Linked DNA regions of Macaca fascicularis. Each later gene encodes a partner of the first gene's protein in a complex. Links are inferred from orthologs where the notes say so. Each region holds a gene or a part of one and is shown in the gene's direction. Other genes may lie near its edges. The genes, in order: USP39, LSM7, PRPF6, LSM2, LSM6, SART1 and PPIH.

Region 1 (4,016 bases):
TTTTTAGTAGAGACAGGGTTTCACCATATTGGCCAGGCTGGTCTTGGACTCCTGACCTTAAGTGATCCACACTTTTTGGCCTCCCAAAGTGCTGGGATTACAGGCGTGAGCCACGGCACACAGCCACATTTTTTTTAAAAGATGGGATTGTACTCTGTTGCCCAGGCTAGTCTTGAAACTCCTGAGCTCAAGCAGTGTGCCTGCCTGTACCTCCCAAAGTGCTGGGATTATAGATGTGAGCCATTGCACCCTGCTATCTGGCTAAATATTTTATTTTATTTTTTTTGTGGAGACAAGGCCTTATTATGTTACCCAGGCTACAAATTTTTTTTTTTTGAAGTATCCTTTAGCTCAAAGGACTTTTTTTATACCTTTTTTTTTTTTTTTTTTTCTGAAAATGTATCATTTCAACTCATTCACACCAAGCAGATGCCATGTACATAGTATAGTGGAGGATTCAAATGAGGTAAAAACAACTGGGCACAGTGGCTTACACGTGTAATCCTAGCATTTTGGAAGGCTGAGGAGGAGAATTGTTTAAAGGCAAGAGTTCAAGATCCACCTGGCTAACATAGCAAGACCCTGTCTCTTTTTTTTTTTTTTTTTTTTTGAGACGGAGTCTCGCTCTGTCGCCCAGGCTGGAGTGCAGTGGCGCGATCTCGGCTCACTGCAAGCTCCGCCTCCCGGGTTCATGCCATTCTCCTGCCTCAGCCTCCCGAGTAGCTGGGACTACAGGCGCCCACAACCGCGCCCGGCTAATTTTTTGTATTTTTAGTAGAGACGGGGTTTCACCGTGGTCTCGATCTCCTGACCTTGTGATCCGCCCGCCTCGGCCTCCCAAAGTGCTGGGATTACAGGCGTGAGCCACCGCGCCCGGCAACCCTGTCTCAAAAAAAGAGATAAAAACTATATTCTTTGCTCTTATTAGGAGCTTCTAAGGAGTCAAGGTTGACATGTGAAACAACGAGCGAGTTCTGTTAGACCATAAAGATTACTGCTGGACCGTGGCACTGAGTAAAAATAAGTACAGTAGGAGTTAAAATGTGCAAAAATCAATGTTAGCTGGAGTGTTGATGTTGAGTTCATGAAGGAGTGGAGGTGGGACTTGAATTGGCAGGACATAGGAGTTTGAATGGTTAGGGGAGAGAGATTCTAGAAAGGAGTAGCAATATGAGAAAAGTTACATAGATACAGCATTGTCCGGAATATGGGCATTTGGAAATTCAGGACTGAGTGATGATGGACTGTCATAGGATATGTATATATTTATGTATATGTGTATTTATGCACACACATATGCATGGATGTTTCTAGTTTCATATATATAGGAAACTATGTATGTGAATATATAGTTATATATATAGAGATTATCTATATTTTATATATCATATGTATTTTACAAATATTTGCAAAAAATAGTGAACTTTGTTTCCCCAGTCAATGTCTTATGCCATCTAGAGAAAGAAGTAACTAATGTGCTAGTCTTTCTTGCTAATTTTTTTATGAGAGAACTTCATGTGGAGGATTCATTTTATGAATGACATAATATTTGTTTTTCGCGGATGTTAACATGTTCCGGTAGAAAATAATGAAAGGAAAAGCAAACCTGATCTGTGCCTTCTAGTATCTGCCCTTCTATTACAGCCTTTCACCCTTCCCTACAGGCCGAGGTTTGAAGTCTCACGCCTACATTCACAGTGTCCAATTTAGCCACCATGTTTTCCTCAACCTCCATACCCTCAAGTTTTACTGCCTTCCAGACAACTATGAGATCATCGATTCCTCATTGGAGGATATCACGGTGTGTGTCTAAGAGGGTTGGTTTGGGGTCCATTCTTTAATGAGCCATCCCAGGGTTCCCAGGGGACTGCCCCATCTGAGGACAGGGAAGAATCTCAGTCCTTTTGGGCATCGAGAGGCTGCTTTCCCTTTTGGGAAGAACTGGGGAAACTGAGTAAGGTCAGAATTCATAATTGCAGCCTGTAGTCTATAACTTAACTGTCATTTCTACTTGTAACATTGAGGGCTAGGACTGAAGAAATATGGGTGTATTCTGATGGGGTTTAAAGTGTTTTTGTGAAATTATTCTTCCACACTTTGAAGCAGGGATATGAATTGGTCCTGGTGTAGGACAATATTTACCAAGCTGCACACCAGCTTCTGGCTGCTTTTAACATATGATGGGACCAGAGCATCCAGCCACAGATGTCTCATCTCTGGGCTCTAGTTTGTGGCCTGTACCAAGAGACACTCATTGTGCTGAGCATGGGCTTTGATTAGTGTTGGGTTTTTGATTATTATTTTCCTTTTCAGCACTTGGGGCATATTCATGGTGCCAAGTGCTCTGTTTTGTTTTTGTTTTTTAGACGGAGTCTTGCTCTGTCGCCCAGGCTGGAGTGTGGTGGCACCATCACAGCTCACTGCAGCCTCGACCTCATGGGTTCAAGTGATCCTCCTACCTCAGCCTCCCACCTCAGCCTCCCAAGTAGCTAGGACTATAGGCATTACCATCATGGCCAGATAAATTTTTAAAATTTTTTGTAGAGATGGGGTCTCACTGTGTTGCCCAGGTTGGTCATGTTCTGTTTATTTTTAAGGAAATGGTGGTATTTAGTCTTTGAAATATTGCTTTTTCTACTTGTAAAAATTTTATAAGCCTATTATTAGTAGTTGAGATTAAAATAGTTATGGACAGGCTGGGTGCGGAGGCTCACGCCTGTAATCTGAGCACTTTGGGAGGTGGAGGCAGGTGGGTCATTTGAGGTCAGGAGTTTGAGACCAGCCTGACCAACATGATGAGACCCCATTTCTACTAAAAATACAAAATTACCCTGGCATGGTGACACATGCCTGTAATCCCAGCTACTTGGGAGGCTGAGGAGGGAGAATTGCTTGAATCTGGGAGTGGGAGGTTGCAGTGAACCGAGATCGTGCCATGGCACTCCAGCCTGGGCAACAAGAGTGAAACTCCGTCTAAAAAAAAAAGTATGGACAGTATTTATAGAGGGAGAAACTGGGCTAAATTCAGTGTTTCAAAGTGAGTTTGGGATGACCTCTGTCCAGTCTGTGACATAATGACTCTGGTAACTCTGCCTGAGAAGAGTCTGATCCTGCTCTTCCAGTACCAGGGACTCGTGGAGATCCTCAGTCTCACCCAGAATGGAGGAAACTCTCCTGCTCCAAAGCTAGGTACATGTGCTGCTCCCGGGAGGTTCTATCTGAGACTTAGACTGCCTTTAGGAACTTAATAGTTTCTGGCAGTCAGTTTTCATGAGTTGACCAGATCTGAGGTCTATGAAAAGACCTGGGATTCAGTGATTTTGGGTTAGACACAGAGATCCCCTTGTAGATTAGCCATGGGAGAGGATCTACCCTGTGTTACTTCAATCTTTACACCTACTGATTGGGACTTTTTCTGTGTGTGGTGGGATGTTCATGGCCAAAGTGTTCTTTGTTTTTGTAGAAATTGCTGTTGTTTGTAGACATTTCTTGTGAACTCAGCTCTTAAACAACTTAGCATTTTCTTTTGCTTTGCAGTATGTGTTGAAGCCCACTTTCACAAAGCAGCAAATTGCAAACTTGGACAAGCAAGCCAAATTGTCCCGGGCATATGATGGTACCACTTACCTGCCGGGTATTGTGGGACTGAATAACATAAAGGCTAATGACTATGCCAACGCCGTTCTTCAGGTAAGATCAAGACGGGAACACTGAGAAAGAGAAGGACACCCAGAAGGCTGGGCACAGTGGCTCACCCCTGTAATCCCAGCACTTTGGGAGGCCAAGGCGGGCGGATTGCCTGAGGTCAGGAGTTCCAGCCAGCCTGGCCAACATGGCGGAACCCTGTCTCTACTAAAATTATAAAAATTAGCCAGGTATGGTTGTGCAAGCCTGTAATCCCACCTATTCGGCAGGCTGAGGTGGGAGAATCAACTTGAATCCGGCAGGCAGAGGTTATAGTGACCCGAGATCGTGCCACTGCACTCCAGCCTGGGGAACAGAGTGAGACTCTGTTT
Region 2 (4,492 bases), on another chromosome or scaffold:
AGGGGGCTGACAGGGCAGCTGGGGGTGGAGGTGCGGTTCGCAGAAAGCTTCTGAGGGGGCCCTCCAGCCTTGCAGAGACCACGGGCATTTCAGGGTAAGAGAAAAGACTAGACAACGAAGCTCCTGCAATGAGCTGCAGGCTTCCCTGGCGCCAGGTCACAACTGGACGGCACGTTCATCCAGATGCGACATGGACTGACATACTTTGAAAGGGTCACTCCTGCTGTGTCGAGGATGGACTAGGGATGTGGGGGACAAAGGCAGCCACAGCAGGGGGATGGCGGTGGGGCTGGAAGAGTGGAGACTAAGAAGGAGCCCAGTGGCAGCGACGCCTTAAGAGAACTCTGAGAGAGGAGTGAAGGTTAAGGGCCGCATTTGTGAGGCTGCTCCGGGTTCCATTCCCTGAGCCACCAAACTCAGGTAAGAGGTAAGATTTGGAATTAAGAAAATAAAAGATGCAGTTACGACAGTGCCATCTCGTAGACTGTCCCCGCTAGAACCTGACACTCTACATCAAAGGATACACAATGAATATAAGGAAGGCGTGCTGTCCCTAGGCGCTGGTCACCCTGGGTAGCATCTCCAGAATCCACACCATAGTCGACCCCCCTTCTCCAGACGAGCAACTGACGCTCAAAGCAGGGAATTCCCTCGTCCAAGGTCACGGAGTAAAAGATGGAGCGGGAATACGACCCCAGTGCAGGGCTGGGCTCTTGGCCGCTCCAGGATGCTGGCCAGTCACTGGGGGACACGCGGGACGCCTCTGGGTTCCCCCACCGCACCCCCTAGGGTGAGGTTAGCTTAGCACCGGGCCATTCCGCCTAAAGGGAAACTGAGGCTCGGAGCGGGGTGGGCGGCCGCCTGCCCAAGGCCACAGAGCGGGAGAGAGGCGTCCCCCGCGGCGGCTGGAGACCCCGAAACGGACAAGCAGAACAGGGAGATGGAGGGGGCACAAACTTCAGGCCCGGTGGGAAGTGAGGGGCGCTGCAGCGGCGGAGGGCCTCCGAGGCGGGGAAGGGAGAGAAGCCGGGGACAGCCCCGCAAGGTCACGGCCGGGCCCCGGCACCGCCGGCCGACAACGAGGGGACCGCGGATCCCCGAGGCTGGACCCCCAAGACGGGCCAAGAGGGGTCGTTCCTGCGCGTAGCCTCGGGGCCGAGAGGCCGAAGGGCCGCAGCCTGCGGTGCCGTCGGGACCGGTGCCGCGCTCACCTGGGCCGCGAGGAGCAGAAAGGCCGCCACAAGCCGCGCCAGCGCAGCCGCCGCCACCGCCGCCATCTCGGCCGGTGCCCGCCGCAACCGTCGGCAGATGTTTCCCAGCAACGCCCCGAGACCCCGGGCCACGCATGCGCCGCGCATGCGCGTGGGGGGGAGGGGAGAGGTCACAGGGCACGGGGCGGTGTCTGCGAAGAGCCTCACGGCGCGACAAGATGGCGGTGAGCGCGCGGCAGAATCCGGAGCCGGGGGGCGTGGGGCTCGGGCCGCGCTCCAGGCCTCATGCGCTCTGCTTTCCCCGCAGGATAAGGAGAAGAAGAAAAAGGAGAGCATCTTGGACTTGTCCAAGTACATCGACAAGACGATCCGGGTGAAGTTTCAGGGAGGACGCGAAGGTGAGGCGGCTCCCGCCGTTGGCACCCCCCCTTTAAAATTTTAAAATAAAGTCAGCAACAGAGGTGATGAGGATGCATGCAGAGGCGCCTCTTTTATTTATTTTTATTTATGTATTTATTTTGAGACGCAGTCTCGCTCCGTCGCCCAGTCTGGAGTGCAAGTGGTGCGATCTCAGCTCACTGCAACCTCCGCCTCCCGGGTTCAAGCGATTCTCCTGCCTCAGCCTCCTGCGTGGCTGGGGCTACAGGCGCCACCACTCCTGGCTAATTTTTGTATTTCTAGTAGAGACGGGGTTTCACCATGTTGGCCAGGCTGGTCTCAAGCTTCTGACCTCAAGTGATTCGCCCGTCTCGGCCTCCCAAAGTGCTGGGATGACAGGCGTGAGCCGCCGCAGAGGCGCCTCTTTACACGCTTGACGCCGACTACCTTGTGCAGGCTTCCGAATTACGCCGGGAGGTAGGAACTGGTATGGCCATGTTGCAGGCGGGGAAACTGGGGCAAGGAGCGGGAAACAAACGTAATCCAAAGTCACAGTGGCGCAGCCGGTATTGGGATTTCCGGCTTGGCCTCCAGAGCAGTCCTGTGTGTCCAAGGACTGCCCCAGATCCCCACAGATCTCCCGGCTTCTCCTCTTCCTCCCTCTAAGTCAAGGTCTTTCCCGCACAGCAGTGTGGACACATTTGGGGCCGGATTCTCTGGAGTGGGGCCGTCCTGGGGCACTGCAGGGTGCTGAGCAGCATCCCTGGCCTCCACCAAGTTGTGACAACCTAAATAGCCTCAGACATTGCTTAGTGTTCTCTGGGGATAGGATCGCCCCCCGACCCCCAAGCTGTGATTGGGAATCACAGCTACTAAGGTCAGTCTCCACTCAGCGGCCAGAGGCACCTAATGAAAAAGAAATGGAGGCTTCTTGCTCCCTGCTGAAAACCTCTGAGGCTCCCGGTTGTTTTGGAGTAAAATCCGAATCCATACTTCTGATTATGACTGCAAAGGGCGGCAGAAGCACAAGTTCCACAGGTGCTTGCTCTGGGAAGCCCTCCCTGACCCTGGCGTCAGGCCCCCCATCGTTCTAGGATCCTGGTAGCACCTGTCACCGTTTGCGGTTTCGTGCATGTTAACCTGATGCTTGCCTCTGCCTGCAACTCTTCCATGGAATCTAGTGAAGACAGGGCGAGCTCTCAGAGGGCAGGAAGCATTCGCATGGGCAGTGGGCTGGTGATGCATGCTGCAGCTCTTGGCGGGACGCAGGGACTCACGCCTGTAACCCCAGCACTTTGGGAGGCTGAGGCAGGCGGATCATATGATCAGGAGATCGAGACCAGCCTGACCAACATGGGGTTTCGTGAAACCCCATCTCTACGAAAAATACAAAAAAATTAGCTGGGCGTGGTGGTGCACACCTGTAATCCCAACAACTCAGGAGGCTGAGGCAGGAGAATCTCTTGAACCCAGGAGGCAGAGGTTGCAGTGAGCTGAGATCGCGCCACTGCACTCCAGTCTGGGAGACAGAGCGAGACTCCGTCTAAAAATAAATAAATCACACACACGCACACACACAGCAGAGAAAGGGTTTGCTCCCTGAAGGACTCACCTGATATGGTCAGGCTCACCCAGGGTGTTTCCCTCTAGATTGGCTCAAAGTCAGCTGGTTCAGGGGCTTAAACAGCTGCATAACCTAAGTGCAGGAGTGACGTCATGTCCCCTCAGAGTCACAGGCCCGAGCCCACACCCCGGGGAGGGGAACCTTGGTTAGAGACCTACCTACCTCAGTGCTCACATCTGTCCCTGTGAGGAGGGCTGGCTCACTGGTCAGGCTGGTGCCAAGGACCTGAACCGTTGCGTCTGACCCCATCTCATAGGTGACAGGTTTCATTTTGCAGGGGAGGGACTTGAGCGCAGAGAGAGGGAGCCGTGGAGGTAGGAGCTAAAGCCTGTATGCAGGTGGGCAGACCTTCTCTGTAGAAGGCCAGACAGCAAATATCTTCAGCTTTGCAGCCCAGATGGTCTCTTGTCACAACCAGTGAGCTATGCCCGCAGAGCAGGAGAGCCGCCCTGGTCAGTGCCTGAGCGGGCGAGTGTGCTGGTGGGCCAGTGAAACTTTGGCATACAGAGATGAGCGGTGGGCCACTTTCGCCTCTGGTCGTAGTTCGCAGCGCAGAACGGCCATGGACAGGCTCACAGCCCTGCCTTGGGAGAAGATAGGCGGGCAGAATAATGCCTGGGGTGCCTGCTTCCTGAGATTGGTGGGGGGCATGCAGAGGGCAGCACCCTAAGGGGTGTGGGTTGGTGTCTGGAGGAAGCACCTGAAAGATGACAGGGGTAAGAAGGAGGGTAGGGAGCGGGTGGCTGAGGGACGCCCCTCAGTGAGCGCAGAGGCGGAACCGCTCCTGGGCCTGGGCTGGAGGAGCCTGGGGGGAGAGGACGGGAGTCCCGGACAGGGAGGGTGGGCTGGCCTCTGCTGAGGACACACAGCTCCCCCTTCATCCTTCTCAGTGTCACCAGACACTGCGGAGCAGGATCAGATGGCAGAGGTCACCACCGGGTCAGAGAGCCCTAACCCAAGGTGCCAAGTTGTGACCTAAGGCGGCGAGGCTTGGGGGGTGGGGCAGGCAGCGTGGAGAGAGAAGCCACAGCAACCGCCTCAGCCCCCAAAGCCTTTGCACCCGGGTCTCAGAGCATCTCTCTTGCCCGCTCCCCGCAAGCCCTGAGCTGCAGGGCTGGGATTTGTTCTTCTGTATTCCGTGAACTCACTGAGGGACCTAGCACAGGTCAGGCAGCGCAGTCACCACCGCTGTCCCAGCAGAGCACTCCGTCTCCCCTAGAGGAAGCCCTGTCCCCATCAGCTGTCACTGCCTGTCGCCTCCCCGGCACCCACACATCCC
Region 3 (4,016 bases), on another chromosome or scaffold:
AGTAGAGACGGGGTTTCAGCGTGTTAGCCAGGATGGTCTTGATCTCCTGACCTCGTGATCCGCCCATCTCGGCCTCCCAAAGTGCTGGGATTACAGGCTTGAGCCACTGCGCCCGGCCTGGAGTGCAGTTGTGCGATCTCAGCTCATTGTGACCTCCGCCTCCCGGGTTCAAGCGATTTCTCTTGCCTCAGCCTCCTGAGTAGCTGGGATTACAGGCATGTGCCACCATGGCTGGCTAATTTTGTATTTTTAGTAGATACAGGGTTTCTCCATGTTGGTCAGGCTGGTCTCGAACTCCTGACTTCAGGTGATCTGCCCACCTCGGCCTCCCATAGTGTTGGGATTACAGGTCTGAGCCACCGCGCCTGGCTGCCAGTCTTTAATGATAAAAACTTAAAGTGGAATTGGTGACAGTATTTGCTTTTTTTGGCTTTAGTGCTTGCCCTCTAAAAAGACATCTACAGAAAAACCTCAGCTGACTGAATATCGATTAACTGTCTTCTAACATGTGACGCCTTTCCTCTGAGGAATATTTAAAAAAATAATTTTAGTTTTGAGGCCAGGCATGGTGGCCCACACCTATAATCCCAGCACTTTGGGAGGCCGAGGCAGGCAGATTACCAGGTCAGGAGATCGAGACCATCCTGGCTAACACGGTGAAATCCTGTCTCTACTAAAAATACACAAAAATTAGCCGGGCATGGTGGCGGGCGCCTGTGGTCCCAGCTGCTTGGGAGGCTGAGGCAGGAGAATGGTGTGAACCTGGGAGGCGGAGCTTGCAGTGAGCTGAGATCGTGCCACTGCACTCCAGCCTGGGCAACAGAGTAAGACTCCGTCTCAAAAACAAACAAACAAAAAATTTAGTTTTGAAATAATTTTAAATTTGCAGGAACTTGCAAAAATAGTGCCAAAAAAAAAAAAAAGTTTCTGCATATCTTTCACCAAGCTTCTCCCCATCTTACATGACCTCAGTGCAGTTATTGAAACGAAAGAGTTAACATTGACACAGTACTGTTAACTAATCTGTCAGTCGTATTTGCATTTCATGTGTTTCCACGAATGTCCGTTTTCTGACTTAGGCTCAGTCCAGGAACCCCCGTTGCATTTTGTCATGTCTCCTTGGTACCTTCCAGTTGGAGCGGCTCCTCTGTCTTTCATGCCCTTGACACTTGAAGAGTAGTCACCAGTTATATTGTAGACTGTCCCTCAATTTGGCTTCGTTGGCTGGAGAAAATAATTTAGCAAGTATTTCACAAGTAGAGATCTTCTCTGTTTCTGCTGGTGGGGATGGTGATGGAGGAAAAGCTGACCTCTCTGCACATGTTGTTTGCTTCTCAGTTTAATGGCTACGCTGGGAGCCTCTTCTCAAGCGGGCCCTATGAGAAAGATGACGAGGAAGCGGATGCCATCTATGCAGCCCTGGATAAAAGGATGGATGAAAGAAGAAAAGAAAGACGGTAAAAGAGATTGTTGCCTTTCACGATGTTTATCCAACTTTAAAAAAAGTTTTGAGGCCAGGCGCAGTGGCTCACGTGTGTAATCCTATCACTTTGGGAGGCCAACGTAGGACGATAGCTAGAGCCCAGGGGTTTGAGACCAGTGTGGGCAACATAGCGAGACCTCATCTCTACAAATAATTTAAAAATTAGTCAAATGGTACACACCTGTAGTCCCAGCTACTTGGGTGGCTGAGGTGGAAGGACTGTTTAAGCCCAGGAGGTAGAAACTGCAGTGAGCCATGATCATGTCAGTGCATTCCAGCCTGGTTGACATAGTGAGACCCTGTTTCCAAAAAAAAAAAAAAAAAAAAAAAAAAGTTTTGAATTTTTTTTTTTTAATTAGAGATGGAGTCTCGCTCTGTCGCCCAGGCTGGAGTACAGTGGTGTGATCTCGGCTCACTGCAAGCTCCGCTTTCTGGGTTCACGCCATTCTCCTGTCTCAGCCTCGTGATCCGCCTGCCTCGGCCTCCCAAAATGCTGGGATTACAGGCATGAGCCACCGTGCCCGGCCTTTTTTTTTTTTTTTTTTGAGATGGAGTCTTGCTTTGTCACCCAGGCTGGAGTGCAGTGGCGCAATCTTAGCTCACTGCAAGCTCTGTCTCCCGGGTTCACGCCATTCTCCTGCCTCAGCCTCCTGAGTAGCTGGGACTACAGGCGCCGCCACCACGCCCGGCTAATTTTTGTATTTTTAGTAGAGACGTAGTTTCACCGTGTTAGCCAGGGTGGTCTTGATCTCCTGACCTCGTGATCTGCCCGCCTCGACCTCCCAAAGTGCTGGAATTACAGGTGTGAGCCGCTGCGCCCGGCTGTTTTGAATTGTTTTATAGTCAGAGAAACGTTGCAATAGTATATGTGTGTGTCTGCTCAGCTTTTAGGCCACCTGAGGGTCTTGGTGTGTCGTAGCCATGCTTGGATAAGCCCTGGGCTGTTACGGAACAGCCTTAGGGGCTGGGGGCTGCAGTGGAGAGCTTAAGAACTCTTAAGATTTTCCAGAAATCAGTAGAATTTTGTGGATTACTTTTATGATACATCAGGGTTACCATCTTTGAAAAGGGCTCACTGACTGTTGATTAATCTTTTATATGTTGAGTAATTTGCAAATGAATTAAAGATGTCAAATGACACATACAAGCTACCAAGATTGAACCATGAAGAAATCCCAAACCTGAACAGACGAATAAGTAGTGAGATCAGAGCTGTAATAGAAAGAGTCCTAGCAGAGAAAATCCCAGAATCTGATTGCGTCATCGCTGAATTTTACCAAGTATTTTAAGAAGAACTAGTATCAATTCTACTCAAACTATTCTGAAAAATAGAGGAGGGAATACGTCCAAACTTATTCTACAAAACCAGTAGTACCCTGATGCCAAAACCAGACAAAGACACACTGAAAAAAGAAAACGTTAGGTCAGTATCCCTGATGAACACTGATGCAGAAATGCTCAGCAGAATACTAGCAAACCATATTCAACAAGACATTGGAAAGAGGGTTCATTGGCTGGGCACAGTGGCTTATGCCCGTAATTCTAGCACTTTGGGAGGCTGAGGTGGGCGGATCTTGGGTCATCTGAGGTCAGGAGTTCAAGACTAGTCTGACCAACCTCGTGAAACCCCGTCTCTACTAAAAGTATAAAAATTAGCCGGGCATGGTGGCGCACGCCTGTAATCCCAGCTACTTGGGAGGCTGAGGCAAGAGAATCGCTTGAACCTGGGAGGTGGAGGTTGCAGTGAGCCGAGATCACGACATTGCACTCTAGCCTAGGAGACAAGAGCAAGACTCCATCTCAAAAAAAAAAAGATTGTTCATCATGACCAAGCGGCATTTTGCCCAGGGGTACAAGTGCAAGGGTGGTTTAACATATGCAGATGAATCAGTGTTATACGTTTTATCAACAGAATGAAGGAGAAAAACCATACAATTTCTTTTTTTTTTTCGAGACGGAGTCTTGCTCTGTTGCCCAGACTGGAGTGCAGTGGCACAATCTCAGCTCACTGCAACCTCTGCCTCCCGGGTTCAGGTGATTCTCCTGCTTCAGCTTCCTGAGTAACTAAGACTACAGGTGCCCGCCACCACGCCCGGCTAATTTTTTGTATTTTAAGTAGAGACGGGGTTTCACTGTGTTAGCCAGGATGGTCTTGATCTCCTGACCTCGTGATCCGCCTGCCTTGGTCTCCCAAAGTGCTGGGATTACAGGCATGAGCCACTGCGCCCGGCCTGATCATTTTAATTGATTCTGAAAATGCATTTGATAAAATTCAACATTCCTTTATGATAAAAACTCTAAGAAAACTGGGTGTAGAAGGAATATACCTCAGGCTGGGCGTGGTGGTTCATGGTGGCTCACATCTGTAATCCCAGCACTTTGGGAGGCTGAGGCGGGAGGACTACTTGATCTCAGGAGTGTGAGACCAGCCTAGGCAAGAGGGTTAATACCCTTTCTGGCTGGGTGCGGTGGCTCAAGCCTGTAATCCCAGCACTTTAGGAGGCCGAGACGGGCGGATCACGAGGTCAGAAGA
Region 4 (4,602 bases), on another chromosome or scaffold:
GTAACCTTTGATAAAACCAAAATTTGTGCTCCAGCTCCTTATCTCTGGGACTCCTCAACATTTTTTTGTTTTTTATAATTTTCTTTTTTATAGACAGAGTCTTGCCCAGGCTGGAATGCAGTGGGGAGATCGTAGCTCACTGTAACTCTTGGGTTCAAATGATCCTCCTGCCTCAGCCTCCCAAAATGCTGGGATTTACAAGCCTCAACATTTTGTTGTTGTTGTTGTTTTGAGACAAGAGTTTCACTGTTGTTGCCCAGGCTGGAGTACAATGGCACGATCTCCACTCACTGCAACTTATACCTCCCGGGTTTACAGGCGCGTGCCACCACACCTGGCTAATTTTTGGGTTTTTAGTAGAGACAGGATTTCGCCATGTTGGCCAGGCTGGTCTAGAACTCCTGACCTCAGGTGATCCATTTGCCTTGGCCTCCCAAAGTGCGGGATTATAGGCGTCAGCCACTGCGCCCGGTCAATTTTTTTTTTTTTTTTTTTTTTTAAAGACGGAGTCTCTCTCTGTCACCCAGGCTGGAGTGCGGTGGCGGGATCTCAGCTCACTGCAAGCTCCGCCTCCCGGGTTCACGCCATTCTCCTGCCTCAGCCTCCCGAGTAGCTGGGACTACAGGCACCCGCCACCTCGCCCGGCTATTTTTTTGTATTTTTTAGTAGAGACGGGGTTTCACCGTGTTAGCCAGGATGGTCTCGATCTCCTGACCTCGTGATCCGCCCGTCTCGGCCTCCCAAAGTGCTGGGATTACAGGCGTGAGCCACCGCGCCCGGCCAATTTTTTTTTTTTTTTTGAGACGAGTCTCGCTCTGTCGCCCAGGCTGCAGTGCAGTGGCATCATCTTGGCTCCCTGCAACCTCCACCTCCCGGGTTCACGCAATTCTCCTTCCTCAGCCTCCCGAGTAGCTGGGATTACAGGCGCCCGCGACCACGCCTGGCTAATTTTTTTTGTATTTTTAGTGAAGACGGGACTTCACCATGTTGGCTAGCCTGGTCTCGAACTCCTGACCTCACACAATCCATCCACCTTGGCCTCTCAGAGTGCTGGGATTGAAGGCGTGAGCCACCGCCCTCGGCCTTTTTTTTTTTTATCAGCTGAATTTAAGATTAAAAACATTTTTTAATTTTATTTTTTGAATTTTATGTTTTTACTTTAACAAATATAGAAAAGTGCACACTTCATAATCTTCACAAACTCCCCACAATTCTCGATAGGATGTGTGTAGAGGGCACGAACACATCACGCTGTGGACGGCAGGGTTATGGAAAACAAAACCTTTTGAGCTCAGACGCCGAGTGCCTCCACCCGCCTAGCAGCCCAGGCTAGGGTCCGCGCCTGCGCAATGGGAGCCGGCCGGCCCTGGAAGAAGTCGGAACGAAGGAAACCCCGCCCCTTTCCCGGCTTCCTCCTCCCCTCGGTTTTACCCAGCTTGCGCTCCCCAGCCGCAAGTCGGCCGCGCTTTACCCTTCAGCGCTTGGAGGGTTCTGCGTCCCTTCCCGCTGCGCCTGCGCGGTCCCGCCTCGCCCCACGCGCGGGCTCGCGCTTCGGTTCTCCCAGACCTGGTCTCAGCATCCGGCTCTTTTCTCGCTCCGGCCCGCTGCCCGCTGCGCCAGCACCATGGTGGGTACCGTGACGTCAAAAGGGGTCGCCCTCGGGGATCTCGGACGGTTGGGGCAGGGGGGTCTGGCCTTTGTCCCCCTAGGCTGGAGTTAGGTCCGGAGTTTTTATCTTCATCGTTAGTCCTGTTCCTCAAGTTCGTTGAGGAGACACCTGAGAGCAAATGGGATTTTTTTTTCCATGATGAGGAAAAAAACCCCAACCCTGAGAGAGATTCAGTGGGGACAGCGGGAGACGGAAAAGTTAGACCTTAGAGCACTTCTCTGCCAGGCAAGCTTCGGCAGGGTGCGGGTGGGATGTTTTCTGTAATTCATTGAAAGGAGTGGGCAGGTACCCGAGAAAGGTGGTCGATTGAGAGAGCACACTGGGGAGGCCGAGGTATGCAGGGCAGAGCCTCTCTGGGACTTTAAGTGATGGGCTCAATGCAGTGTGCAGAATAATTTGGGCTCCAGCCTTTCACCTCTCAACCAATTATTCTTTCCTGTGAAATTTTGAGAACTGTTAGGGATGCAATGGGGTTCACAATACCGGTATTTGGTAATACTGTCAAGGGACACTCCTCCCTACCATGTTCCTTCCCACATGATGGTTTTCCCCCTCTCTCCCAATAGCTCTTCTATTCTTTTTTCAAGTCCCTTGTGGGCAAGGATGTGGTCGTGGAACTCAAGAATGACCTGAGGTAGGTACCTGTTCCAACAAGTCTGTTGGGGGTGGGTGTGCCCAGGGCCCTGGAACCTCTTTAATTTGAGAAATATTTGAGGGCTGGGTGAGGTGGAATATGTACAGAAGAAATAAATGGCCGGGTGCGGTGGCTCACGCCTGTAATCTCAGCACTTTGGGAGGCTGAGGTGGGCGGATCACGAGGTCAGGAGATCAAGACCATCCTGGCTAACACGGTGAAACCCTGTCTCTACTAAAAATACAAAAAATTAGCCAGGCATGGTGGCAGGCGCCTGTAGTCCCAGCTACTTTGGAGGCTGAGGCAGGAGAATGGCGTGAACCTGGGAGGCAGAGCTTGCAGTGAGCCCAGATCACGCCACTGCACTCCAGCCTGGGTGACAGAGCGAGGCTCTGTCTCAAACAAACAAAAGAAATAAATGGGTGGGGTGCAGTGGCTCACGCCTGTAATCCCAGCACTTTGGGAGACTGAGGAGGGAGGATTGCTTGAGCCCAGGAGTTTGAGGCTGCAGTGAGCAGTGATTACTCCATTGCACTCTAGCCAGGGCAATAGAGCAAGACCCCATCTCTAAGACAAATTTTAAAATTTAACAATAAATAAATGCCTTGTGCCTTAAATTTACAGATAAGCTTGGGGATTGTATTGTGTATTGGAAAACAATACAAAGCAATATACAGTTTAAAGAGTAAATACTGGTCAGGTGTGGTGGCTCATGGGCTGGACGTGTGGCTCATGCCTGTAATCCCAGCACTTTGGGAGGCCGAGGTGGGTGAATCACGAGGTCAGGAGTTCAAGACCAGTCTGGCCAAGATGGTGAAACCCCGTCTCTACTAAAAATACAAAAATTAGCCAGGCATGGTGGCAGGTGCCTGTAATCCCAGCTACTTGGGAGGCTGAGGCAGGAAAATCGCTTGAACCTGGGTGGCAGAGGTTGCAGTGAGCTGAGATTACGCCACTGCACTCCAGCCTGGGTGACAGAGTGAGACTCTGTCTCAAAAAAAATAAATAAAGAGTAAGTACTAGGCTGGCCATGGTGGCTCACACCTGTAATCTCAGCACTTTGGGAGGCTGAGGCAGGAGGATCACTTGAGTCCAGGATGTCGAGACTAGCCTGGGCAACATAGAACCATTTCTATAAAAGATTAGCCAGATGTGGTTTACATGCCTGTAGTCCCAGCTATTCGGGAGACTGAGGTGGGAGGATCACTTGAACCCAGGAGGTCGAGGCTGCAGTGAGCCATGATTGTACCACTTTACTCCAGCCTGGGTGACAGAGGAAGACTGTCTCAAAAAAGAACAGGCCAGGCCAGGCGCAGTGGCTCACGCCTGTAATCCCAGCACTTTCGGAGGCCGAGATGGGCGGATCACGAGGTCAGGAGATTGAGACCATCCTGCCTAACATGGTGAAACCCCGTCTCTACTAAAAATACAAAAAATTAGCCTGGTGTGGTGGCGGGCGCCTGTAGTTCCAGCTACTTGGGAGGCTGAGGCAGGAGAATGGCATGAACCCAGGAGGTGGAGCTTGCAGTGAGCCAAGATGGCACCACTGCACTCCAGCCTGGGCGACCAGAGCGAGACTCCATCTCAAAAAAATAAACAAAAAAACAGAACAGGCCATAGGCTGGGCATGGTGGCTCATGCCTGTAATCCCAGCACTTTGGGAGGCTGAGGTGGGTGGATCACAAGGTCAAGAGATTGAGACCAGCCTGGCCAACATGGTGAAACCTACGTATTAGATATGCTACTGTGTATCTAATACCTAGTATAGGCCAGTTGTATGATAGGTGCTTAAGGAAAGAAAAATAATATCTGAAGACCTATTGACTAAGCACTATTCTGAATACATTTATTGATTGATTTCTCAAACACTCCTTAGTAATATGTACTATTGCTGTTATACATATGAGGAAACTGAGGCTTAGATCAGCTATACCACTTGTTCAAGTCTACAAAACTAGTAAGTGATACAGAACAGAAATATGATTATGTCCAGCTTTTTTCTTTTTCTTTTTTCTTTTTTTTTTTTTGAGATAGTCTCGCTCTGTCGCCCAGGCTGGAATGCAGTGGTGTGATCTCTGCTCACTGTAAGCTCTGCCTCCCGGGTTCATGCCATTCTCCTGCCTCAGCCTCCCCAGCAGCTGGAACTATAGGCGCCTGCCACCACACCTGGCTAATTTTTGTATTTTTAGTAGAGACGGGGTTTCACCGTGTTAGCCAGGATGGTCTCGATCTCCTGACCTTGTGATCCGCCTGCCTCGGCCTCCCAAAGTGCTGGGATTACAGGCGTGAGCCACTGCGC
Region 5 (4,531 bases), on another chromosome or scaffold:
GCCCTTGGAGAAGGCTGCAGCTGCTCTGCAGATGAACTAGGCCCTTAAAACTCCTCATGGCTCCCTACCCACCACGCTAGTGTTAACAGCTCAATTAGGGCTCTGTAGGAAAGGGAAAGAAGTTTTAATCAAAATTTTATTTTATTTTTTTTAATAATTTAAACAACCAGTAAGGAATGTGCAATTTGATGTCTTGCAAAGAAAGTTTTTAGGAACAGGCCTTTTTATCCTGTTATGTTTGTACTTTGCAAGTAATTATTTGATTTAAACAGTCCTTTTCTTAAAATTTTTATTTATATTATATTTTATATTGCAAGAACTTCAAATACAGTCCTCTCAATAAATCAGTAACTGTTTGGTCTTTACCCAAACTGAGCTTTTATAGAAGGATATAAGGAAGTCTCTATTCTTTACCAAATCACATCCACTTGTTTTCTGTCCCTGATATCAATCAAAAGTTCATTTCTTCTGCCTTTAGCCAAAAGAAGGTTACAAGGGAGGAATTCTTTATCTCAGAAAAAAATTCTGCATCTTAGATTTTATAACACCTAATGGGGTTAAGGATCTGTGTTGGAAGATCTTATTGCTTTGTGTATAGCGTTACAAACCATAAATAAAATTAAAGTAAGTTTTCAGCTGATGAGAGTAAAGGAATCAAGTCTTGGGGTAACAGTTCTCTTTTTTTCCCCTTCCAATCCCATTAATAGAAAGTGTTGAGAATTCATGCAAAATTCCAAACCAAGTTCCCATAGTAGCACTTAAATAATGTCTGCACACCATTTCCAATTGGAACAAGTTTTTAATGTAACACAATTAATGTCATTATAATTCGGAGTTACTTGAGTGATTTTAATTATTTTTTAATCAACATTGCCATGGAAACAGTCTCTTGCTAAAATGGCTTAAGTCTTCACACATTTAATCAATATCCAGAGGTAGATTTAAAGACTTGAGGTGTTTTATTTATTTATTTGCTTTAAACTATTCAAGGACGTTTCTGGGTACACAGTGCCGTTACTTAAACAGTAAATTCCAGTTTCCTATGACTTCAAGTTATTTTTTACACTTCTGCAAATAAATCCTGGACAAAAGATCACTTCTAGTTTCCTGGATTTTTGTTTTTGTTTTATATTATATTTGTTTTGTATTCAGATTTCTGTCAGAGGAACTCCAGTGCACCAATTTTGCTACTAGACAAAACAGGATTCTCGGATTTGCGCGCTTCGGCGCTGACAGGCTTTTCGGCCCCAGCGGGCTGCCGTAGCAGAGAAGAGCAGTGATTGGCCGAGGCAGAAAAGTGCCGCTGCCTCGGCGGTTTCGCTTTTGGCTGCGATCATCCGCGGAGGCCGGACTCGTGGGGCGCCTGGAGTGAGGGTTCTGGATCCCGCCCGCGAGGTGAGCCGCACGGCTGCGCGGGCCGATGACGGGGCCGGGCGTAGCCCCGGGTTCGACGCCCCAGTGTTCAGTCGCGCTGTGGAGCGGCGGCTGCAGCTGCCCTAGGCCGGGCGAGGCAGCCCCGGAAAGGGCCTGAGGGGAACGGGCTGGGGCTCCGGGAAGGGACCGCTGAGTGGCAGCTTCCCGCGAAATGCCGCGTCCAAGCTCTCCGCGCACGGAATGGCCGGAGAGGTCTGATGGTGGGCGCCGGGACCGCCCTCAGCGAGGTGCTTAGACTGCGCAGAGAGTAGCGGCACCGTCCCGGCTCCCACCGAGTTGGCGTCCGAGACCAGTTCAGGTTGTTGAAGTTCCCCAGGGAGCCCCGAGGCTAATCCCAGGATTCGGCGGGAAAGCGGATCCCGAACCCAGGCCTAGGCTTCGCCAGTCTTCCAGGGCTTCAGGGAATTGCGAACCCTTCCCTACATCGGGGTGGCTGCGCCTGACCACAGGAATTAAGGACTCGACTCGCCTGTCTTACTGAGTTGTCAGGCCTAGGAACCCAATTGTATGGTCTTAAGTCCTATCGCCCGAGGTTTTCTGTGCGTTCGCGTGTCCGCGCGCGTGCATAGCAGGCGTTTTTAAGATGTGTAGCATTAGGATGAAGCGGATTACCCTACCCCACTGCTCTTAGTAATATGTGACTATTGTAGAAAATTGCAAACATGGAAGACTTTAGTGAAGAAATAGTATTCACAACCCTTTCACCTACAATCTTTTTCTCCTGTGTATGCTAGCTTCTACTTGAGCTAAGAGTGTACATGTTTAATCACTTAACAGTATAGTTTACCACTTCCATTTAAAAACTCTTCCTAAATATTATTCTAGTTTTGTATCTTCTTTTGATTGACTGTCCCTCATTGTGGATCGCAATGTAGGTCCCATAAATTATTCAGTCATTTCCCGATTGTGGGATATTATAGATTGTTTTTGAATTTTTGAATCTCTTAGCACCCCAGATAATACTTTGATAAACCTTTTCCCCCCTATTTTTTAGATTATTTCCTTGGACTAGATTCTCAGAAGTGAAATTATCAGATTAGATGCTTTCATCTGTAAGGCCTTTTTTAGGCCTTCGTACACATTGCTGCAGTGTTTTCCAAAAAAGTTTTTCAGGTGTTTGGCAATTTTACTTGCTTGAATATTGTACAGAAATCTTGAGAGGCTTATGTTTGTGGGTGTGTGTGTGTGTGTGTGTGTGTGTCACTGGAGTTAATGCGTTACTACCTGAATGTTAGGGCAGGAAGAGACTTAAGTGGTCATCTGGCATAACTCCCTTATTTTGCAGATGAGGAACCTGGGGCCATGAGAAGTGAAATGATGAGTTATCCAAGTCACACAGCTAATTAAGTAGCAGAGCTGGGATTAGAACTCAGGTTTCCTGCCTCCCAAGTGAGTACCCTGTGCTGCATCAGGCAGTCTCTCACTGAACTCTGGCATAGTAGATATTAGAATTTAAAAATTTGTTTACATCACCTGGATTATTCTCTCCTTTTAAAAGTGTACTAACAGATTAATGATCGGAGGGACCTGTAACACTGAGAAATTGGAAAGTGATTATTTTCATGGCCAAGACTAGAAATCCATTATTTAGAATGGCAACCCCTTCAAGATTTTGACAGTTGTTTTCAGGTTCCCTTTATGTTAGAATAAAACATCCCTGATTAATTATAATCTACACTCCATCATTTGGTTAGAATGTAGCTTTTGGTTATCATTTGCTGTACTTTGGAGATTTCTTTAAAACTCCTCACTTTAAAACCAAAGAACAACGTTGTTGGTGGTTTTTTTTTTTAGGGCTTATAGCGGAGATTCTCAGCTTCCATTGACATTTTGGGCTGGACAGTCCTTTGTTGTGGAGGGCGGTCCTGTTGTAAAATGTTTAGCAACATCCCTGGTCTCTACCCACTAGTATAGCAGTAGCACCACCTTCCTCAGTCTTGACAGTTCAGTGTCCCCAGATACTTCCAAATGTCCCTGAGCAGGGTGGGGTGGGGTTGGGGAAACTGCCCCTAGTTGAGAACCATTTGCTTAAATAAATTATCTGGAGAACTTCATAAAATGTAAAATACAGTGCTTTTACCTGAGTAGACTTCAGGAATCTGCATTTTAACAAGCATCTCTAGATTTGGAAACAGCTGGTTCTTGAATGACAGAAAGGGTTGTTTTCTCCGTCTTTGGTGGTCCTAATAGAGATTACTTGGTTAGTATTTGTTGAAGTACGTGCATGATCCTACTAGTCACTGTATCCATAGTTTGGGTTGGTGGGGGCTGGACAGGGATTTTGCTTGGCACTGGCCTTGAATGTCTCTTCCACAGACTTGGGCAGTGTGCTTAGGTACCAGGGATACCAAGTGAGTAGGATATTTCCCCTGTCCCCAAGGAGCTTAAAACTCACCATGGGAGACCTGTCAGCAAATGGAAAAATTACAAAGCAGCCTGATAAGGACCATGACCGAGAGTTGAAAGAGGTGCTGAGTGGACTCACTTCGCCTTTGGGAGAGAGGGAGAGAAGTAGCGCCTGCTGCTCAGGAAGGAGGGATTGGTATGAAGCCTTCACAAGACAGCGAGGCACTCCACTGTGTCAGAAGGGAGGACTTGGAGAGCTGTTCTTCTCCGTGTCTGATCGCCTCCTCAGACACTGATCTGTTAGTCTAGTGCTGCAGTTACTTGGATTGTAATGTTTCCTTGCAAGTTTTTGCTTTTCAAATTTTTTTCACCCTAAACTGTAAATATGCTAGGAGTAGGTAAAAACTTACAGGTAAACATTGCCAAGTAATAAGGATTTTCATGTCTTCTGCCCAGTGGCATAACCCAAATCACATGAGATAGTTTTCTTTGCGTTTGTCCGTTGTATTTCTTTGAGGCTAATTTACAGCACTTTGTCATGTTAGGTATTTTTTTCCCCAGTGCTGCTACTCTCCGACTGGATTTCTCGCTGCCTCTATTGCGATTCCCCAAGATTTAACCAGAGAATCTTAACATATTCAGAAGGCAGCTGTACCTGTGAAAGCGCTTGGGGTTTGGGGTCAGTCTTGGCTTTGCTTTCCACCTCACACGGTTTCTCTGTAAATTGCTTATGAATCTAACGCTGGTGGCA
Region 6 (4,016 bases), on another chromosome or scaffold:
GCTTGTTTTCTGAGTTAGAGCCGTGGCCTTCGCATACTCACTCTGGCTGTGAGGTGTTGTTAGATGGACTGGAAGATGTGCACGCTTGCTGCAAACTGGGCTGTGCGGGGGTGGGTCTGTTGTTTTTCTTTAAAGCACAATTTGAGGAGCTTTGGAAGCCACAGAGGGTCCTGTCGTGCTGCATGGGTTGGCCAGGAGTGTGGGGACGAAGTGGGAGCAGGGAGGTGAAGGATTGTTCCTTCCTGTCCTGACCCCTTCTGGCCCCCTGAGCTGGAAGGGGGCAGGGTGAGTGGCTCCCTCCTCTCCCCACCAGCCATGGGCGGGCATAGCCTCACGTCTGGGCCCCCCTTCCAGAGGCGGGCACCAAGGAGGAGCCCGTGACAGCCGATGTCATCAATCCTATGGCCTTGCGACAGCGAGAGGAGCTGCGGGAGAAGCTGGCGGCTGCCAAGGAGAAGCGCCTGCTGAACCAAAAGCTGGGGTGAGGGGTCCTGGCCAGGGCAGGCAAGGGAAGGGCTGGGGAGGCCACCATCCTTGGCTGCCTTTTGAGTGGGGTTGGGAGCAGGAGCTGGGCTCCTGGAGCATCACTTTCTCCCCTCTTCAGGAAGATAAAGACCCTAGGAGAGGATGATCCCTGGCTGGATGACACTGCAGCCTGGATCGAGAGGAGCCGGCAGCTGCAGAAGGAGAAAGACCTGGCAGAGAAGAGGGTGAGCACCTGGGCAGCATGGGGTGGTTGCCCAGTGCTTTTGCTGGCCTGACTGGGCGTTGAGGCAGGGGGTCGACCCCAGAGAGGTGAGACGGGGTTCGGAGAGGGGATGGGCTGTGGTTGGTAGCATCTGCTTTGGATTCTCAGCAACTTTCCTGCAAGGCCTGCTCTTTTTGCACTCCGCTTGGTAGAGCCCTGAGTGTTTTCTGGTGGTGCTGAGTGGCCTGAGGTCCTAGGTCACCCCTCCCTGTCCCATAGGCAAAGTTACTGGAGGAGATGGACCAAGAGTTTGGTGTCAGCACTCTGGTAGAGGAGGAGTTCGGGCAGAGACGGCAGGTGAGGCTGCAGCAGCCGGGGTGGGTGGTGCAGGGCACACTGGCGGCCTTGATGCTGGAATCCCAAGGTTGGGCGCGTGGAGGGAGGTTCTTTACTCGCCTGATTCTTCTGTTAGGACCTGTACAGTGCCCGGGACCTGCAGGGCCTCACCGTGGAGCATGCCATTGATTCCTTCCGAGAAGGGGAGACCATGATCCTCACCCTTAAGGACAAAGGTGACGCGAGCTGGGTGCCTTGGGTCGGGGCACAGCCTCTGCTGAGTTGTGGACAAGTGTGAATGGCCACTGCTCTGTGCTGCCCGCAGGCGTGCTGCAGGAGGAGGAGGACGTGCTGGTGAACGTGAACCTGGTGGATAAGGAGCGGGCAGAGAAGAATGTGGAGCTGCGGAAGAAGAAGCCCGACTACCTGCCTTATGCCGAGGACGAGAGTGTGGACGACCTGGCGCAGGCACGGCCCAAGCAGGCTGGGCGGCGGGGGCTGGGGTGGAGAATGTCGGGAATAGGGGCTCTGAGGAGGTGGTGGCTCAGTGGCTTTTCAGGAGCCACCCTGGGTCCCAACCTGTACCTCTTACCTTGCAGCAAAAACCTCGCTCTATCCTGTCCAAGTACGACGAAGAGCTTGAGGGGGAGCAGCCGCATTCCTTCCGCTTGGAGCAGGGGGGCATGGCCGATGGCCTGCGGGAACGGGAGTTGGAGGAGATCCGGGCCAAGCTGCGGCTGCAGGCTCAGTCCCTGAGCACGGTGGGGCCCCGGCTGGCCTCTGAGTACCTCACACCCGAGGAGATGGTGAGCCCTCTTGCGCCTTGTACTTGGGGTCATGATTCTCCCTCCCCTTGGGGCTCCTGCGCTGCCCGCAGGCACTGGGAAGAGAGGGCAAGTATTTCTGTTCACAAAGCGCTTGGCCTCGTGGGCAAGCAGTAAATGGCAACCTGGGGAGGCACCAGGTGTTGACGGGTCAGGGCTGCTGAGCCAGATGGGCCCCAGTTGGTGTTTCTGCTCTGCCATACTGCCAGCTTGTGCCTTGGGTAAGCCATTTAACTGTGAGCCTGGGGTGCCCCATCTGGAGTGGCAGTGATAGGAGCCACCTCCTGAGGTTGCTGTGAGGATGAGTGACAGTGTGGGTGAGGGGTGACTGGAAAGGTGTGCGTGGATTCTGTCCGCAGAGTGACTGTGTGAACGTGAGGTAGTCAGCTGGTGTAGTAGGCGTCTTGCTCAGTGGGTAAGAGCAGGACTCTGGAGCCAGACTGCCCGGCTTTCCCACCTAGGAGCTGGGCGACCTTGGGGAAGGTACTTAACCTCTCTGTGCCCCAGTTTCCCTAATCACCAGTGGAAGGGAGATAGTAACCACCCCACGTGTTGCTCATGTGTGAGAAGTGCTCAGGACACTGGCTAGCACAGAAGAACACCAAAGAAGTGTTCATCCTCGCGGGCTTGTGGTGGCCTGCCTTTCCCCGCCCCGCCCCACGCCTCCCTCTTCCCCTCAGGTGGCCTTTAGAAGGACCAAGCGGAGGGTGAGGAAAATCCGCAAGAAGGAGAAGGAGGTCGTAGTGCGGGCGGATGACCTGTTGCCTCTCGGGGACCAGACTCAGGATGGGGACTTTGGTTCCAGGTGGGCTTGGACACCATGGTAGGGTGAGAGGGCTGGGCTGGGGTGTCCCGGGGGCCGGTGCTCACCAGAGAGGCCTCCTTCCCTCAGACTGCGGGGACGGGGTCGCCGCCGAGTGTCTGAGGTGGAGGAGGAGAAGGAGCCCGTGCCTCAGCCCCTGCCGTCGGATGACACCCGAGTGGAGAACATGGACATCAGTGATGAGGGTGAGAGCCTGGCCAGGAGGTGGGAGGGGGCAGGGACAGGAGCCCTGGGTTGGAGGAGATTGTCTGAGCAGGCATCCCCTGTGTATCCCCCAGAGGAAGGTGGAGCTCCACAGCCGGGGTCCCCGCAGGTGCTGGAGGAGGACGAGGCGGAGCTGGAGCTGCAGAAGCAGCTGGAGAAGGGACGCCGGCTGCGACAGTTACAGCAGCTGCAGCAGCTGCGAGACAGTGGCGAGAAGGTGAGGCTGGGCATGGGCAGGCCTGGGGCTACCAGTGCGTCAGCAGTCACCTGTCCTCACGAGCACATGTGTCATAGGCAACAGCCACATTCCTGTCTGAAGCCTCTTTTCCATTTGTTTTTTGTTTTCTGGGTTTTGTTTTTTTTTGAGACAAGTGTTTTGCTCTGTCGCCCAGGCTGGAGTGCAATGGCGTGGCCTCGGCTCACTGCAGCCTCCGCCTCCCTGGTTCAAGTGATTCTCATTCCTTAGCCTCCTGAGTGGCTGGGATTACAGGCACCCGCCACCACACCCGGCTAATTTTTGTATTTTTAGTAGAGACGGGGTTTCACCGTGTTGGCCAGGCTGGTCTCCAACTCCTGACCTCATGATCTGCCTGCCTCGGCCTCCAAAAATGCTAAGATTACAGGTGTGAGCCACTGCGACCAGCCCTGGTTAAAGTCATGTTTTCTGTTTAAAAGTCATGTTTTGCAAAAGTTTTTAGATGCCTGCTTTAGTAGGGGATCCTTTCCTGGCCTCTCTCTTCCTGTGCATGTTTGTTGAATGCCTGCTGTGAGTAGTGCATTGTTCTTGGGCCGAGAAGGTCATTGGTGAACAGGACAGCCACGGGGCCCTGGACTCAGAGAAGTGGCTTTCTAGAGTGTGTGGGGGAGAGCTTAGGGAGCAGCAGTGACCTGGTGAACGCAGGAACGGTAATTTCTGATGGTGACAGGAGCTGGGCACTCAGTAGGCCAATATAATGTGCTGGGGTTGGGATCTTAGACGGGGGAGTGCGGGGAAGACCTTTCCAAGGTACTAGTTCAGCTGAGACTTGAGTCACACAGAAGAGCCAGCCTTGCGGGGGATTAGGGGTGGCAGCAGGTGACAGGCTGGCGTTTAGGTGGTAGATCAACCAGCAGGTATCTCAGGAGAAGAGACCTTAGAGTG
Region 7 (4,016 bases), on another chromosome or scaffold:
TAAGGCTTGCTCTGATGGCAGGGTGGGGTCAAATAGGTGCAGCTTCCAAGATGACCAACAAGAGTAAGAGTAGACTTTAAGGATGTCAGGCTTTAGGTGCGACAGTGTTCTTCCTCTGGTTTCCAGGGACCCAACACTCCAAGTCACTAATATTTCCCTTCTGTCTGCTCAGGGAGATGGTACTGGAGTTGCCAGTATTTACCGGGGGCCATTTGCCGATGAAAATTTTAAACTTAGACACTCAGCCCCAGGCCTGCTTTCCATGGTAAGTGAGGTCCAATCAAGGTTTTGCGTTACAGCCAGCTGGTTTCTGGGCCCCTCTTGAGGCCCAATGCTGTGTTTTGGCATGATGAAAGCAAATGCTTTCTTTCTCTTGCTTGCCCCAGGACTCACCTTTACCACCTCTTTTCTCAGTCTGGTTTGATTGAGAAAACCGGTAGGTACATGGTGGATTACAGGTGTGAGCCTGTATCACGTCTGTAATCCTAGCACTTTGGGAGGCTGAGGCGGGTGGATAACCCGAGGTCAGGAGTTCGAGACCAGCCTGGCCAACATGGTGAAACCCATCTCTACTAAAAATACAAAAAATTAGCCAGGTGTGGTGGTGGGTGCCTGTAATCCCAGCTACTTGGGAGGCTGAGGTAGGAGAATCGCTTGAACCCAAGAAGGGGAGATTGCAGTGAGCCAAGATCGTGCCACTGCACTCCAGCCTGGGCAACAAGAGCGAAACTCCGTCTTAAAAAAAAGAAAAGAAAGAAAAGAAAACCAGTAGGTAAGACCCTCTAGCAGGCTAGCAGGCTGGGGAACTAAAATATGAACCAGGGTTTGTGTCTAGGCATTCAGCCCTACTGCTCAGAATGTAAAAAGCTGTGCTTTCAAGACATATTCATAGCTGGGCCTGGTGGCTCACACCTGTAATCCCAGCACTTTGGGAGGCCAAGGCAAGAGGATTGCTTGAGGTTGAGGTCAGGAGTTTGAAACCAGTATGGGTAACATAGTGAAACTTAAGTCTCTACTAAAAAAAGAAAAAAAAAATTAGCCAGGTATAGTGACACACACCTGGAGTCCCACCTACTAGGGAGGCTGAGGTGGGAGGATTGCTTGAGCCCAGGAATTTGAGTCTGCAGTGAGCCATATCCTGTTCATCTCTGGATCCTTGGATCCTAGCTTAGGCCCTGGCTCATAATAGGTGCTAAGTTAGATTTACTGAAAAAAACATGGAGGGATTAGGGTTACAAGCTCTTTTGGGAATCTTACCCATCAGGTAACATGGCCAAGGAAACTTACTGCAGGTATATTTGGTTTCCATCAGGCAAATAGTGGTCCGAGTACAAATGGCTGTCAGTTCTTTATCACCTGCTCTAAGTGCGATTGGCTGGATGGGAAGCATGTGGTGTTTGGTAAGTCCTACTCATGTCCCATGGTCCAGGCCCCATTCACCGCGGATGGAACCTCCAGAGGAGTTAGTTCTCAGACTCTTACCAAGAATGCTCAACTTGGATAACTGCTTAGGTGGTAACAGAGAAAACAGAAATGGTGGGGAGGTGGGGAACATGTTTGGCTAGAGAACTAGAGGGAAGGACAAAAGGGCCATTTGATATAGTATGGAACCACTCAGGGGAAAAACCCAGTAGCTAGCACCAAAGAAATGCCATACAGGCAGCATGATATGGTGAGACTTTGCAGTCACTCAGATATAAGTGTGAGCCCTAACTCTACTTATTACCTATGACCTTGAGCAAGTCATTTCACCTCTACTGCATCTTAATTTCCTAAAGTTAGTAACAGAATCTAATGACATAATAGCTAAGAATGGGCTTTGGAAGCTGGAAAACGCTATGTAAACAAGAATAAAGTCCAGCTCACACTCTTCCTACAGGAAAAATCATCGATGGACTTCTAGTGATGAGAAAGATTGAGGTAAGTACTGCTTTGATTTTTCTCTTTCTCTCCCATTCTGGTCTGGTACTGTCTGACTAGCGTCCAGGAGCTAGAGAAGGGGGAATGAGCTCCAGTTTGTTAGGCCCAGTCTTCATTGCTTCAGGAAAAGGGAGGAGAGACCACCTAAGTTAGCCTGTCTGGTCAGCACTGAGGTTTGGCCCCTGACGACCCTGTTGCCTACTTGATAAAATTCTACTCCTCAGCATTGCATTCAAGGTCCTTCATGATTAGTCCCTGTCTACTTCTCCACGGCCCCTTCTCCTGCCACTGCCTCTTTCATGTTCCAGTCACATCAGGCTACTAGCTCTTCCCTAAATCTGCCATACACATCTCTGCCCCTTGCTCTTTCCTGCTCCTGAGCCTTTGTTCACACTGTTTCCTGTAGCTGGAATGCTCTTCTTTCCTTCCCTCCTGGTGGAATCCCATTCATCCTTCTAGGCACAGTTCAAATAATCCTCTTTTGTGAATCCTTCCCTGACCTCTTTAAGCAGCAATTTAGTTACCCGTCTACCCCTTATCCAACTCTCTCATAACTTTTTGTTATATTATCATAGGTTTGATGTTTTCTAAGTGTTTTGCATTTTCTCTTTGATACCTGTCTGCCAGGACATGGACAGTTTCTGAGTGCTGAGTCCTTAGCACAGGGGCTGGCAGGCATCAGTAAAAGTTTGATAAGGGAATGAGGAAGTGCCTGAGTGGATGAATGTCCATTGTGCTTTTTTTCCTAGAATGTTCCCACAGGCCCCAACAATAAGCCCAAGCTGCCTGTGGTGATCTCACAGTGTGGGGAGATGTAGTCCAAAGACTGAATCAGGTAAGTGTGTCTTTCTGCTATTAGGTTAGGAGTCAGACCTCAAAGAAGACAGCATGGTCTAGTGGAAAGATCTTTAGTCTTGAAGACATGAGATTGAGCCCAGTTCCTCTGTGTGTGACCTTGGAGTGGTCACTTTCCTTCTCTGAGCATGTGTCCTCATCTGTCAAATGGAAATACTGTAATACCTATCTCTCAGAGTCACTGTAAAAATCAAAAGAGAAAGGGTTGTAGGAGCACTGTACTTTTCTATCACTTTGTAATGTACAAAGTATCAATCTGAAAACTACTCAGGCAGTTTGTAACAGCACTTTCAGACTACAGTTCCATTCAGTAGTCCCCCTAGAAAGACCTGGCTCCAGGCCTGAGTAACTCTCTGCTGGGACCAGGCCAAGCAGCCAGGAGACACGCCTGTCATGCACCTCATCAGAACTGATACTGCAATTCCAGGCCTTGACTTCGTATTTGCCGGCCTCACAGGTGAATGCCTTGCATCTTCCAGCCTACATGGACTCATTTCTTACCCGTATTTGCCACTGCCTGCTCTGCGCTGGGCAGCATGCTCGCTGCAGAGAGCGGGGCAAAGAATTGAAAGGTGTCTCCTTTCAGGAGCTCATGGGAAGTAAGACATTCTCAGAGGTCATCACTAGTAATATGAGTGACACTGCCAAGTGTGAGAAGAGTACAAGGGGGAAATCCGAGGTGAGGGATAGTAATGTTTTTCTTTTTTTTAATTTCAAACCTGCAAAAAAGTTAGAAGAATACCTTGACCACCCATATATCTTCACTTAGATTCACCAGTGATTAACATTCTTGTTTTATTTCTTTGCCTTGACATTGGTTTTTTTCTTTCCCTTCTTGCCTCCTCATCCATTTCCATTGCCTCTCCTCCTCCCTCCTGCTCCTCTTCCCTCCCTCCATCCTTCCCTTCCTATTTTTCATCCTTCCTTCCCATCTTCCTTCCTTTACCCTTTCTTCTTTTCTTTCCCATTTGAAAGTTGCAGACTTCTTGACACTTTACCCCTAAGTATTTCGGCGAGGAACTCCTAAAAATAAGAATATCCTATGTAACCACAATATTATCTAACATATAGTACATTTTCAAACCTCCCCAGTTGTCCCAAAAGTAACTTTTGTAGCTTAAAAAAAGGTGATCCAATCAAGCTTCCCATATTTCATTTCATTTGGTTTACACAAGTAACATATTACACTCTCCTTGTGAAAACTTTCACACCAAACAGATAAAGTGAAAGCCCCTCTTGAC

What was found.
Region 2: USP39 (region 1) and LSM7 share a complex: the UniProt entries of both Homo sapiens proteins name them as parts of the U4/U6-U5 tri-snRNP complex. The link is inferred for Macaca fascicularis from reciprocal best matches to the Homo sapiens genes USP39 and LSM7.
Region 3: USP39 (region 1) and PRPF6 share a complex: the UniProt entries of both Homo sapiens proteins name them as parts of the U4/U6-U5 tri-snRNP complex. The link is inferred for Macaca fascicularis from reciprocal best matches to the Homo sapiens genes USP39 and PRPF6.
Region 4: USP39 (region 1) and LSM2 share a complex: the UniProt entries of both Homo sapiens proteins name them as parts of the U4/U6-U5 tri-snRNP complex. The link is inferred for Macaca fascicularis from reciprocal best matches to the Homo sapiens genes USP39 and LSM2.
Region 5: USP39 (region 1) and LSM6 share a complex: the UniProt entries of both Homo sapiens proteins name them as parts of the U4/U6-U5 tri-snRNP complex. The link is inferred for Macaca fascicularis from reciprocal best matches to the Homo sapiens genes USP39 and LSM6.
Region 6: USP39 (region 1) and SART1 share a complex: the UniProt entries of both Homo sapiens proteins name them as parts of the U4/U6-U5 tri-snRNP complex. The link is inferred for Macaca fascicularis from reciprocal best matches to the Homo sapiens genes USP39 and SART1.
Region 7: USP39 (region 1) and PPIH share a complex: the UniProt entries of both Homo sapiens proteins name them as parts of the U4/U6-U5 tri-snRNP complex. The link is inferred for Macaca fascicularis from reciprocal best matches to the Homo sapiens genes USP39 and PPIH.

What each region holds. Positions count from the first base shown.
Region 1 is NC_088387.1:35,962,937-35,966,952, reverse strand, and holds part of USP39 (ubiquitin carboxyl-terminal hydrolase 39), read left to right. Parts: intron 1-1,664; coding exon 1,665-1,801; intron 1,802-3,537; coding exon 3,538-3,690; intron 3,691-4,016.
Region 2 is NC_088393.1:2,987,845-2,992,336, reverse strand, and holds the start of LSM7 (U6 snRNA-associated Sm-like protein LSm7), read left to right. Parts: upstream 1-1,397; 5' UTR 1,398-1,429; coding exon 1,430-1,435; intron 1,436-1,518; coding exon 1,519-1,609; intron 1,610-4,492. Other genes in the region: SPPL2B (signal peptide peptidase-like 2B), read right to left, coding at 1,212-1,277. UniProt on the Homo sapiens protein: Plays a role in pre-mRNA splicing as component of the U4/U6-U5 tri-snRNP complex that is involved in spliceosome assembly, and as component of the precatalytic spliceosome (spliceosome B complex).
Region 3 is NC_088384.1:120,121,072-120,125,087, forward strand, and holds part of PRPF6 (pre-mRNA-processing factor 6), read left to right. Parts: intron 1-1,338; coding exon 1,339-1,457; intron 1,458-4,016. UniProt on the Homo sapiens protein: Involved in pre-mRNA splicing as component of the U4/U6-U5 tri-snRNP complex, one of the building blocks of the spliceosome.
Region 4 is NC_088378.1:139,905,942-139,910,543, forward strand, and holds the start of LSM2 (U6 snRNA-associated Sm-like protein LSm2), read left to right. Parts: upstream 1-1,641; 5' UTR 1,642-1,804; coding exon 1,805-1,894; intron 1,895-2,235; coding exon 2,236-2,303; intron 2,304-4,602. UniProt on the Homo sapiens protein: Plays a role in pre-mRNA splicing as component of the U4/U6-U5 tri-snRNP complex that is involved in spliceosome assembly, and as component of the precatalytic spliceosome (spliceosome B complex).
Region 5 is NC_088379.1:151,030,189-151,034,719, forward strand, and holds the start of LSM6 (U6 snRNA-associated Sm-like protein LSm6), read left to right. Parts: upstream 1-1,319; 5' UTR 1,320-1,395; intron 1,396-2,719; 5' UTR 2,720-2,823; intron 2,824-4,531. UniProt on the Homo sapiens protein: Plays a role in pre-mRNA splicing as component of the U4/U6-U5 tri-snRNP complex that is involved in spliceosome assembly, and as component of the precatalytic spliceosome (spliceosome B complex).
Region 6 is NC_088388.1:8,429,706-8,433,721, reverse strand, and holds part of SART1 (U4/U6.U5 tri-snRNP-associated protein 1), read left to right. Parts: intron 1-313; exon of another isoform or gene 314-354; coding exon 355-481; intron 482-604; coding exon 605-710; intron 711-967; coding exon 968-1,045; intron 1,046-1,160; coding exon 1,161-1,260; intron 1,261-1,349; coding exon 1,350-1,492; intron 1,493-1,623; coding exon 1,624-1,830; intron 1,831-2,528; coding exon 2,529-2,653; intron 2,654-2,740; coding exon 2,741-2,856; intron 2,857-2,949; coding exon 2,950-3,092; intron 3,093-4,016. UniProt on the Homo sapiens protein: Plays a role in mRNA splicing as a component of the U4/U6-U5 tri-snRNP, one of the building blocks of the spliceosome. May also bind to DNA.
Region 7 is NC_088375.1:192,203,181-192,207,196, reverse strand, and holds part of PPIH (peptidyl-prolyl cis-trans isomerase H), read left to right. Parts: intron 1-172; coding exon 173-265; intron 266-1,312; coding exon 1,313-1,400; intron 1,401-1,879; coding exon 1,880-1,920; intron 1,921-2,669; coding exon 2,670-2,738; 3' UTR 2,739-2,755; intron 2,756-4,016. UniProt on the Homo sapiens protein: PPIase that catalyzes the cis-trans isomerization of proline imidic peptide bonds in oligopeptides and may therefore assist protein folding. Participates in pre-mRNA splicing.